Cricetulus griseus: one gene and its partner. The protein of the gene in region 1 purifies or fractionates together with the protein of each later gene. This does not show direct contact. Links are inferred from orthologs where the notes say so. Each region holds a gene or a part of one and is shown on either strand. Other genes may lie near its edges.

The links. The genes of interacting proteins can lie anywhere in the genome.
Region 2: the proteins of nucleophosmin (region 1) and Rps5 purify together in Homo sapiens (affinity purification with mass spectrometry; 3 studies listed by BioGRID and IntAct, with this or other methods). This does not show direct contact. The link is inferred for Cricetulus griseus from reciprocal best matches to the Homo sapiens genes NPM1 and RPS5.

What each region holds. Positions count from the first base shown.
Region 1 is NC_048600.1:48,346,429-48,350,617, reverse strand, and holds the start of nucleophosmin, read left to right. Parts: upstream 1-1,353; 5' UTR 1,354-1,469; coding exon 1,470-1,527; intron 1,528-2,986; coding exon 2,987-3,066; intron 3,067-3,469; coding exon 3,470-3,589; intron 3,590-3,795; coding exon 3,796-3,889; intron 3,890-4,157; coding exon 4,158-4,189. UniProt on the Homo sapiens protein: Involved in diverse cellular processes such as ribosome biogenesis, centrosome duplication, protein chaperoning, histone assembly, cell proliferation, and regulation of tumor suppressors p53/TP53 and ARF.
Region 2 is NC_048602.1:25,507,590-25,511,893, forward strand, and holds the start of Rps5 (40S ribosomal protein S5), read left to right. Parts: upstream 1-1,476; 5' UTR 1,477-1,615; intron 1,616-3,150; exon of another isoform or gene 3,151-3,264; intron 3,265-3,516; 5' UTR 3,517-3,517; coding exon 3,518-3,625; intron 3,626-4,304.

The sequences.
Region 1 (4,189 bases):
CGCCCTGGCTCTAAGAACATTCTCCCTCCTAGACTAGAAGCCTTCGAATTTTGAATGGCCAGACTGCTCACTTGTGGTTTTCCCTTTTCCCGTTTATCTCAGTTGCTTACATAGACAGTACTTCCAAGTTTCAGGATTTACTCTAGTAGTTGTAAAGTGGAAATTCACTGGGCCCCATTCACATCTTGAGGCTGATTTTTTCCCCCCCAAATTTAGGATTTGGTTAATAATCTGCTCATACGTTTTATACTCAACTGGTCTTCCCAATTGGACCATCTCTGGAGTAAAGAGTCTGGGGGCATGAATACCATTACTCACATTCCTCCCAGTAACCTTTTCATTTGCTAGCTATGTTGAGATAAAAAGATTAGGGCTGCTCTCAGTACGCACCCAATGTTGAGGGATGTTTGTCGGGACGCAGTTTAAAATGCTATTTCCCAGCCAAAGATTCTAATCAAGGCTCCTGTATTTCTTAGAAGTCATATGCCTTCATTTGGAATGATAAGGATGACCTGCGTGTTCTCAATTCTGCACACACCTCTAAACTTTTAGAAAGGTGCTCTTTGGCCCTCGAATGACGTAAAGCTGAGAACTTAAGACTTTGGAGATGCTGCCTCAGAAAAGAGGTATAAAAAGTATGGCTGATGCCGGGCGGTGGTGACGAATGCCTTTAATCGCAACACTCGGGAGGCAGAGACAGGCGGATCCCTGGGAGTTTGAACCCAGCCTGTGAGTTCCAGGACAACCAGGGCTGTTACAGAGAAACCCTGTGTGGAAAAACCACAAAAAAAAAAAAAAAAAAAAAAAAAAAGGCTGACAAAGTGGCAAGCAGAGAATCATTCTACTAATGATCCGTCTGTCCTGCCTTTGGCTCCTGAAGCTCTATGGGAAAAGGATAAAATAAGACCAAGCCTTCGAGGAGGTCAAATCCTGAGATTATGCCTGTTGCAGGTCTACCGAGAACCGGAGGGCGAAGAACAGCGAAGGGAGTCGCCCGCTGGTTCCCGGCCGGCAGTCGCCATCTTTTAGGGTGGGCTGCGCAGCCTCTCCGCGCAGGGCCCGCGTGGAGAAGCCGAAACGTGGTAGCTTCGGAGGGCTGGAGCGCGTTACAAAGGGAAAGTGCGCCTGCGCTCGGGCAACCGCGCTGGAGGGGCGGGGCCAGAGGGAGGACGCGCGTGCGTAGTGCGAGCCCGCCAAGCACCTGGAAGAGGTGGGGAGGGGAGGTAGAGAGGCGTGGGATAGGACAGCGCTTGCGCAAGAGCGAGACAGTGCGGGAAGTGGGGGATCCGGAGCACGCTCGCGGAGGCGGGACTAGGGCAGATCTCGCGAGATTTGCTGCGGCCATATATACGTGCGGCGAGCCCGCGTCCTTTCCCTGGCGTGATTCCGTCCTGCTTGTCTGTTCTGAGGAGCAGTAGGCAGTTTCCTCCGTCCGATATCTCGCATACCGAAGTGCGCGTCTCCACCTCATGGAAGACTCGATGGACATGGACATGAGCCCTCTTAGGCCACAGAACTACCTTTTCGGTAACTGCCTGGCGGGGAGGGCCTGGGCAGGGCCTGGTGGTTGGGGGGGCGGCGGGAGTCCAGTTGAGGCCTGGCGTGTGCCAAGCGCGGCGTGGGTGGAGGCCTTTGCACGGCTGGGAGGAACCGCCTGGGCCGCGGGAGCCGAAGAAAGCCGAGGCCCGGGCGCTGAGCGGGACCGTAGCTTGGGGCGGCAGCGGCCCAGCCTCGAGCCTCTGGCGTTGAGAGGGCGGTCGGCCGAGGGTGCCAACTTGGCTTGGGGCGCGAGCAGGGGCTGTGACGACACTTTCTCTTCATACGTGAAGAAGGCCTCAGGACCTGGCAACAGGCAGCTGAAATTCAGCGCTGGGCCCCAGGCGCGTCCCGGGATAATGGTGCCTCTGGAGCGCGGCCTGCGCCGCCTCGTTGGGACGGTATAAGTGCAGTCCGCTGGGCTTTACAGGGGCTTCGGCCCCTCCTCCCCGTGCATCCGAGAGGTTCCGCCGCTGACAGGGACTCGGCCGGCCAAGCTCCCTGCGGCTGAGGGGGCCGCAACCCCTGGGAACACGTGGTTGCCACGTGGTTGGGGGTAGGGAGGGGGTGTGGGCTCTACATCCGGGCTCTCCTCACTTCTTAACCCTGGTCCTTCGGGTCCTGTGGTTTAATTAGGAGTGCTAGGCGGGAAACGCGTAAAGTGGCGCGTGGCGTCCGTGTCTTTGTTAAGATCTTGTAGCATCCACGGTGATGGTAGTGACTTTTTTTTAGAGACCCTTTAGTGCCTCTGCAAGAGGTGGAGTCAGCCCCACGCTGCCGATGACGATATTGATGGTCGAAGGGTCTTGATGTTAAGAGAGGGCCACGAAATCTTAAGTCGAAACTATCCTTTTCCCTACAACTGGTCTTTTTTTTTTGATTGGGCCGGGGAAGAGAGAGAAGTGCCTCCCGCGTTTAGCAGATTAAGGGATCACTTTGGTAACTCGGCTTCTGGGGACCCCACTGTCACTGCACATTCAGCTTATCGGTTTTACAGTCTATTAGTTTGGTTTTCAGTGACTCGAGTCAATTTTTTCAAAATTCCGAGTGTTTAAAGCACTTTCCCCTACGTGAATGAGTAGTACATGTTTAATGTACTCTAAGCATGAAGGGTTTAAGCTGTCCCTACTGGTCATGTGTAACCACTGTTGATTTGTAGTAATTTCCTTTAGAACGTAGGTAAGTTGGGTTTTTTAAAAATAGTGCTAGATAATGGTATGGTGCCACTATGCAAAAATCCAGTTTTAGGTCATTGGGTTTTCTGTGAAAAAATGGTAACGGTGCCTCATTAATTGGTCGTGAGTTACTATGAAAAAGTAGAACTTTTATTGGCTTTCTTATACAGTAGATTCCACGGAGAGAACATTTTTAAGTTAAAAGAGTAGAAGTTAATGGTCGTTTGGGACTGTGATGTTCATCTTGCTAGATTTATTTTATTTTTTCTTTACAGGTTGTGAACTAAAAGCTGACAAAGATTATCACTTTAAGGTGGATAATGATGAGAATGAACACCAGTTGTCACTAAGAACGGTACTTAAACTTTGAAATTAATTAGCCATTAGATTTCAGCCACTTGGATCTAAGTGAGGGGATTTATGTCAGTTTGTGCTTCCTTAACTGATGGAAAAATAGTATTTTTATAACTTTAAAATAGTTCACATATGTACTGGTAACAAAGAACTGGGTGTCTTTTCCACAGTCACTGTTATAATTAGTTGTCTAGTAAGGCTCTGCAGGATGTGATCTTTTTAAGTCTGTTGGCTATATTTTATTGGTTGTTTGGCTTTCTTAGGAACATACAGTGTTTTGTGTCTATGCATCTCGTAATTATATGAGAGGACTAGTTATCAGTAGTGAGAAGAGGCTAATTAAAAAATTTAAGGGGTGTTTATAAAACAACTGGGTACTGAAGGATCTTTCTTTTTGTTCACAGGTTAGTTTAGGGGCAGGGGCAAAAGATGAATTACACATCGTAGAGGCAGAAGCAATGAACTATGAAGGCAGTCCAATTAAAGTAACGCTGGCAACATTGAAAATGTCCGTACAACCAACAGTAAGTACATTTGTAAACATTGTTTTTAAAGTTGGTCTCTAAGACTGATTTAGGATAAGCAAAGATGTTTCAAATAAGTTATATCTAGTGTGAGATTATCTCTGTGGCTTCTAGATAGGTTTATTGATTATATAACTCTGTTGGTGATGCTTGGTGCAAAACATTCTTAAAACAATGTTTAATGATTGAAATTTGCTCATTTTTAGGTTTCCCTTGGTGGCTTTGAAATTACACCACCTGTGGTGTTACGGTTGAGGTGTGGTTCAGGGCCTGTGCACATTAGTGGACAGCATCTAGTAGGTATGTTTTTGGGTTTTTAAATCTGGTATTTCTATTAGGAACTGGCTTTTTTTAATATTTGTGTTTTGGCCAGGTTAGAGAAGACGTCTGTTGCCACTACTTGGGTCCTTGGGATTGAATACTGAGGTTTAGCCACAAAGATCTTGTAATTAGATTGGCTATCATCCTAGATCTCCAATATGGACTTTGTAAAAGTTCTTAGTTGTCTTATGCTGAAATAGGAATCTGGTAATGTATAAAAAGATAACACCTGAGTATCTTATTTCAGCTGTAGAGGAAGATGCAGAGTCAGAGGATGAA
Region 2 (4,304 bases), on another chromosome or scaffold:
CCACACCTGGCTTGTGTAAAGCGAATTTTACCTGTGCAAATCAATTTCTGAAGTATTGCTCTTAACCTCTGGGCCATGTACAGGAGCCCCTTATCTACCCTCTGCCACCTCGTAGGTAATTCTCAAAAGGTCAATAAAAATGTCCATTATCAACACTTGTGGTGCAGCGACAGTTTCCAAAGTGGGGGTGACACTCGGTGGCCCCCTGCCTACAACCACCACAAGCCGGGCTCAGTCTTAGAGCTCATGAGGTGGATTCCTGTCCTTTACCCCCTTCCCCTCCCTCCCCACACATAGGTGTGAACTCAGATCAGAAGGAAACCTTATGTCACCAGACTCTGACAAGGCTCAGGGAGCTCAGATCTGATCTATTCACAGAGACGCTTTTAGGACTGGAGAGATGCCTCAGAGGTTAAGAGGCCCGGCTGCTCTTCCAGAGGTCTTGAGTTCGATTCCCAGCTCACAACCATCCGTTATGAGATCTGGTGCCCTCCTCTGGTGTGCAGACAGACATGGAAGCAGAATGTTGTATACACAATAAATATATATAAAACAAAAACCAACATGTGTCTGTATGGTGTCTATTCCCCATTCTGTCCTTACGCCTTAAAGGCAGAGGTCAGCCTAGTTAAAGAGACACACCTGAGCCGGGCGTTGGTGATGCTCGCCTTTAACCCCAGCACCAGGGAGGCAGAGGCAGAAGGATCTGTGAGTTCGAGACCAGCCTGGTCTACAGAGTGAGTTCCAGGACAGCCATGGGGTACAAAAAAAAAAAAACCTGTCTCGAAAACGCAAAAGCCAGAAAAAACACTCCTGGGGTGAGTCTGCAGGCAACGAGACCCCGTTATCAGCACCAAGTAGTTGCGATCGCAGATAAAGGTGAATTCCAATTAAAAGTGTCACCCGAGAGATCCCCGGGGCTGGCAATCTCGCCACCCCCCGGGCGAGCCAGCCAGACAGCTGCTGGTTGGCGACCCGAGTCTCGTGTCCCCGGGTTGGGGCCTTGAGATAAAAAAAAAAGCCGGGACAAGAGAAGCCGGAGTGATCAAGACGGAAGTGGCCCCACGCCGGAAGCCTGGAACTCGCTGAGCACGCTCTCCCGGAGGGTAAAGGGTGGGGCCGCTGCTTGCGAACCCGGATCAGTGGCGATCACGGGGCCCGACCCACTATTTCGGCGACACGCACTGAGCCGAGCCGGCTGCCTTAGCTAGGAGCCCACGGCTCCCGGCGCCTTGGTTCGGCAGCCGGTGTGCCGCGAGCGTGGAACCGACCTGTGCCCTCTTTAGATATGGCGGTGCTGGCTTCGCGGACGTTTCTGCGCATGTGCCCCGCCTCGTAAGCCGGGCAAGCGCTTCAGACATCCGCCAGAAGCCGGTTGTGGCGCTGCTTCTCAGACTGCGCATGCTCCGTAGGGCTCCGAGGTCGCCTCTCATCCTCAACTGCCGATTGGCCCACGAGCGCGTGTGTTCCTCCGCGCCTGCGTCCCCCGCGTCTGACCCGGAAGTTCTCGCTCGGCTTAAAGGCGCCGGCCCGCTGCGCGCGGCCTCTTCCTGTCTGTGCCAGGGCGGCGCGTGGTCCACGCCGAGCGGCCGACGAGTCCCGTCTGCGCCGTCAGGTGAGGCTGCGGGGGGCCCCGCAGTAACAGCGGGGCCGCCCTGAGTGCTCCGGGGGACATCTGGGGACCGGGGGGCGGGACCCGGGGCCTGGGCCTTCCCGTCTGGGCCTCGCCTCTCCCCTCCGGGAAAGCGTGTCCGGAAACCCGCGGGCCCGGCCGCCCCTGGCCGCCCCTGCGCCCTGCGCTGACCCCGTGCTTCCCGCACTCGAGGCCCTAGGGAGGCCACTCGGATGCCAGCATTACGTAGGGGGGTCACTCGGATGCCAGCATTACGTAGGGGGGTCACTCGGATGCCAGCATTACGTAGGGGGGACACTCGGATGCCAGCATTATGTAGGGGGGACACTCGGATGCCAGCATTACGTAGGGGGGACACTCGGATGCCAGCATTACGTAGGGGGGACACTCGGATGCCAGCATTATGTAGGGGGGACACTGGGATGCCAGCATTATGTAGGGGGGACACTGGGATGCCAGCATTATGTAGGGGGGGGTCATTCGGATGTCAGCATTATGTAGGGGGGTCACTCGGATGCCAGCATTATGTAGGGGGGGTCATTCGGATGCCAGCATTATGTAGGGGGGTCACTCGGATGCCAGCATTACGTAGGGGGACACTGGGATGCCAGCATTACGTAGGGGGGACACTGGGATGCCAGCATTATGTAGGGGGGACACTCGATGCTCGGGCAGTATTGCCAGCATTATGTAGGGGGACACTGGATGCAGCATTATGTAGGGGGGACACTCGATGATGCCAGCAGCATTACGTAACTCGGATGCCAGCATTACGTAGGGGGGTCACTCGGATGCCAGCATTACGTAGGGGGGACACTCGGATGCCAGCATTATGTAGGGGGGACACTCGGATGCCAGCATTACGTAGGGGGGACACTCGGATGCCAGCATTATGTAGGGGGACACTCGGATGCCAGCATTATGTAGGGGGGACACTCGGATGCCAGCATTATGTAGGGGGGACACTCGCACATGCCAGCATTATGTAGGGGGGACACTGGGATGCCAGCATTATGTAGGGGGGGCCATTCGGATGCCAGCATTATGTAGGGGGGTCACTCGGATGCCAGCATTACGTAGGGGGGTCACTCGGATGCCAGCATTACGTAGGGGGGTCACTCGGATGCCAGCATTACGTAGGGGGGACACTCGGATGCCAGCATTATGTAGGGGGGACACTCGGATGCCAGCATTACGTAGGGGGGACACTCGGATGCCAGCATTACGTAGGGGGGACACTCGGATGCCAGCATTATGTAGGGGGGGGTCATTCGGATGTCAGCATTATGTAGGGGGGGCACTCGGATGCCAGCATTATGTAGGGGGACACTGGGATGTCAGCATTATGTAGGGGGGACAGCATTATTTAGGGGGGTCACTGGGATGCCAGCATTATGTAGGGGGACACTCGGATGCCAGCATTATGTAGCCACCGGGAAAGTCTAGTTTCGCGGAGATCCTGTTGCTCAGCACACGTTTTCTTCCCGGACAAGGAGGGAGGTAAACGTTTGTGTCGGTTGTCCCTCTGGATTCCTACTGCGGCCCCTAGCCCCGTATCTTACCGACTGAACGCTGAAAGCAGCACCTGGCCTTTTAGGATGGAAGCTTCGTAAATGCACGGGGAAAGCTGGGTACGGGATAGGTGTATATGAGTGTCTGCGTGGACTCGGGAGCCATCCTACTGGGTGCCGTGTACCAGCTGCTTAGCTTGGTGATTTTTTTTTCCCTAGGTTTGTTGGAGACATGTTCAAAGTTGCTGGGTCCCCATTTAACTGCCCAGGTTTCCACCAGATGGGGGTTACTTAGCCTGAAGAGTTTGGGGTCGATGTGATTGTTCTAGGGCGGACGGCAGTAACAGTTTCTTCTCGATGTCCCGTCCCCAGAATGACTGAGTGGGAGACAGCCACACCTGCGGTGGCAGAGACCCCAGACATCAAGCTCTTTGGGAAATGGAGCACCGACGATGTACAGATCAATGATATTTCTCTGCAGGTAAAAAGGAACTTGGTGGTGGTCTGTGGGGCTTTTGGTTGGGAGCAGCTGTGGATTCTTACAGTTCAGAAAGGGAAGCATGACACCCAGGTTTGAATTAGTCTGTTTACCACCACGTAGCAGACCAATAACTGGACAGCCTTATTATAACCTGTACCAAAAGTTGTTACCGTGTGTTGTCACTTTTCATTCTCTGAATCCATTGTCTATTGAGACAGGGTCTCGGATATGTAACCCTGGCTGGCTTGGAACTCAAGAGATCCTCCTGCCTCTGTTGCCCAAGTGTTGGGATTAAAGGCATCTGGTTTGGTATCACTTTGCATTCTATGTTCAGTTAGGTGTCTTCTGTTGCAAAGACCAGTTTAACCAACTGAACAGTGTTGGGATTAAAGGCATCTGGTTTGGTATCACTTGGCATTCTGTGTTCAGCTAGGTGTCTTATTGAAAAAACTACTTTAACCAACTGAACAGTGTTGGCACTCTTGTCAAAGCCAGTTGGTAAGCTGGGCATGGTGGTGCATGACTGTGTTGCTGGTTTCTGGCTGTGGCAAGAAGATTTTGCGTATAAAGCCAGTTGCGCTGTAGTGAGATCTCCTCTACTGCTCTCCTCCCCGAAAGTGTCAGTTGGCTATGGGTGTGTGGGTGCTCTTGAATGGCTGTGTTGGTATAGGTGCAAATT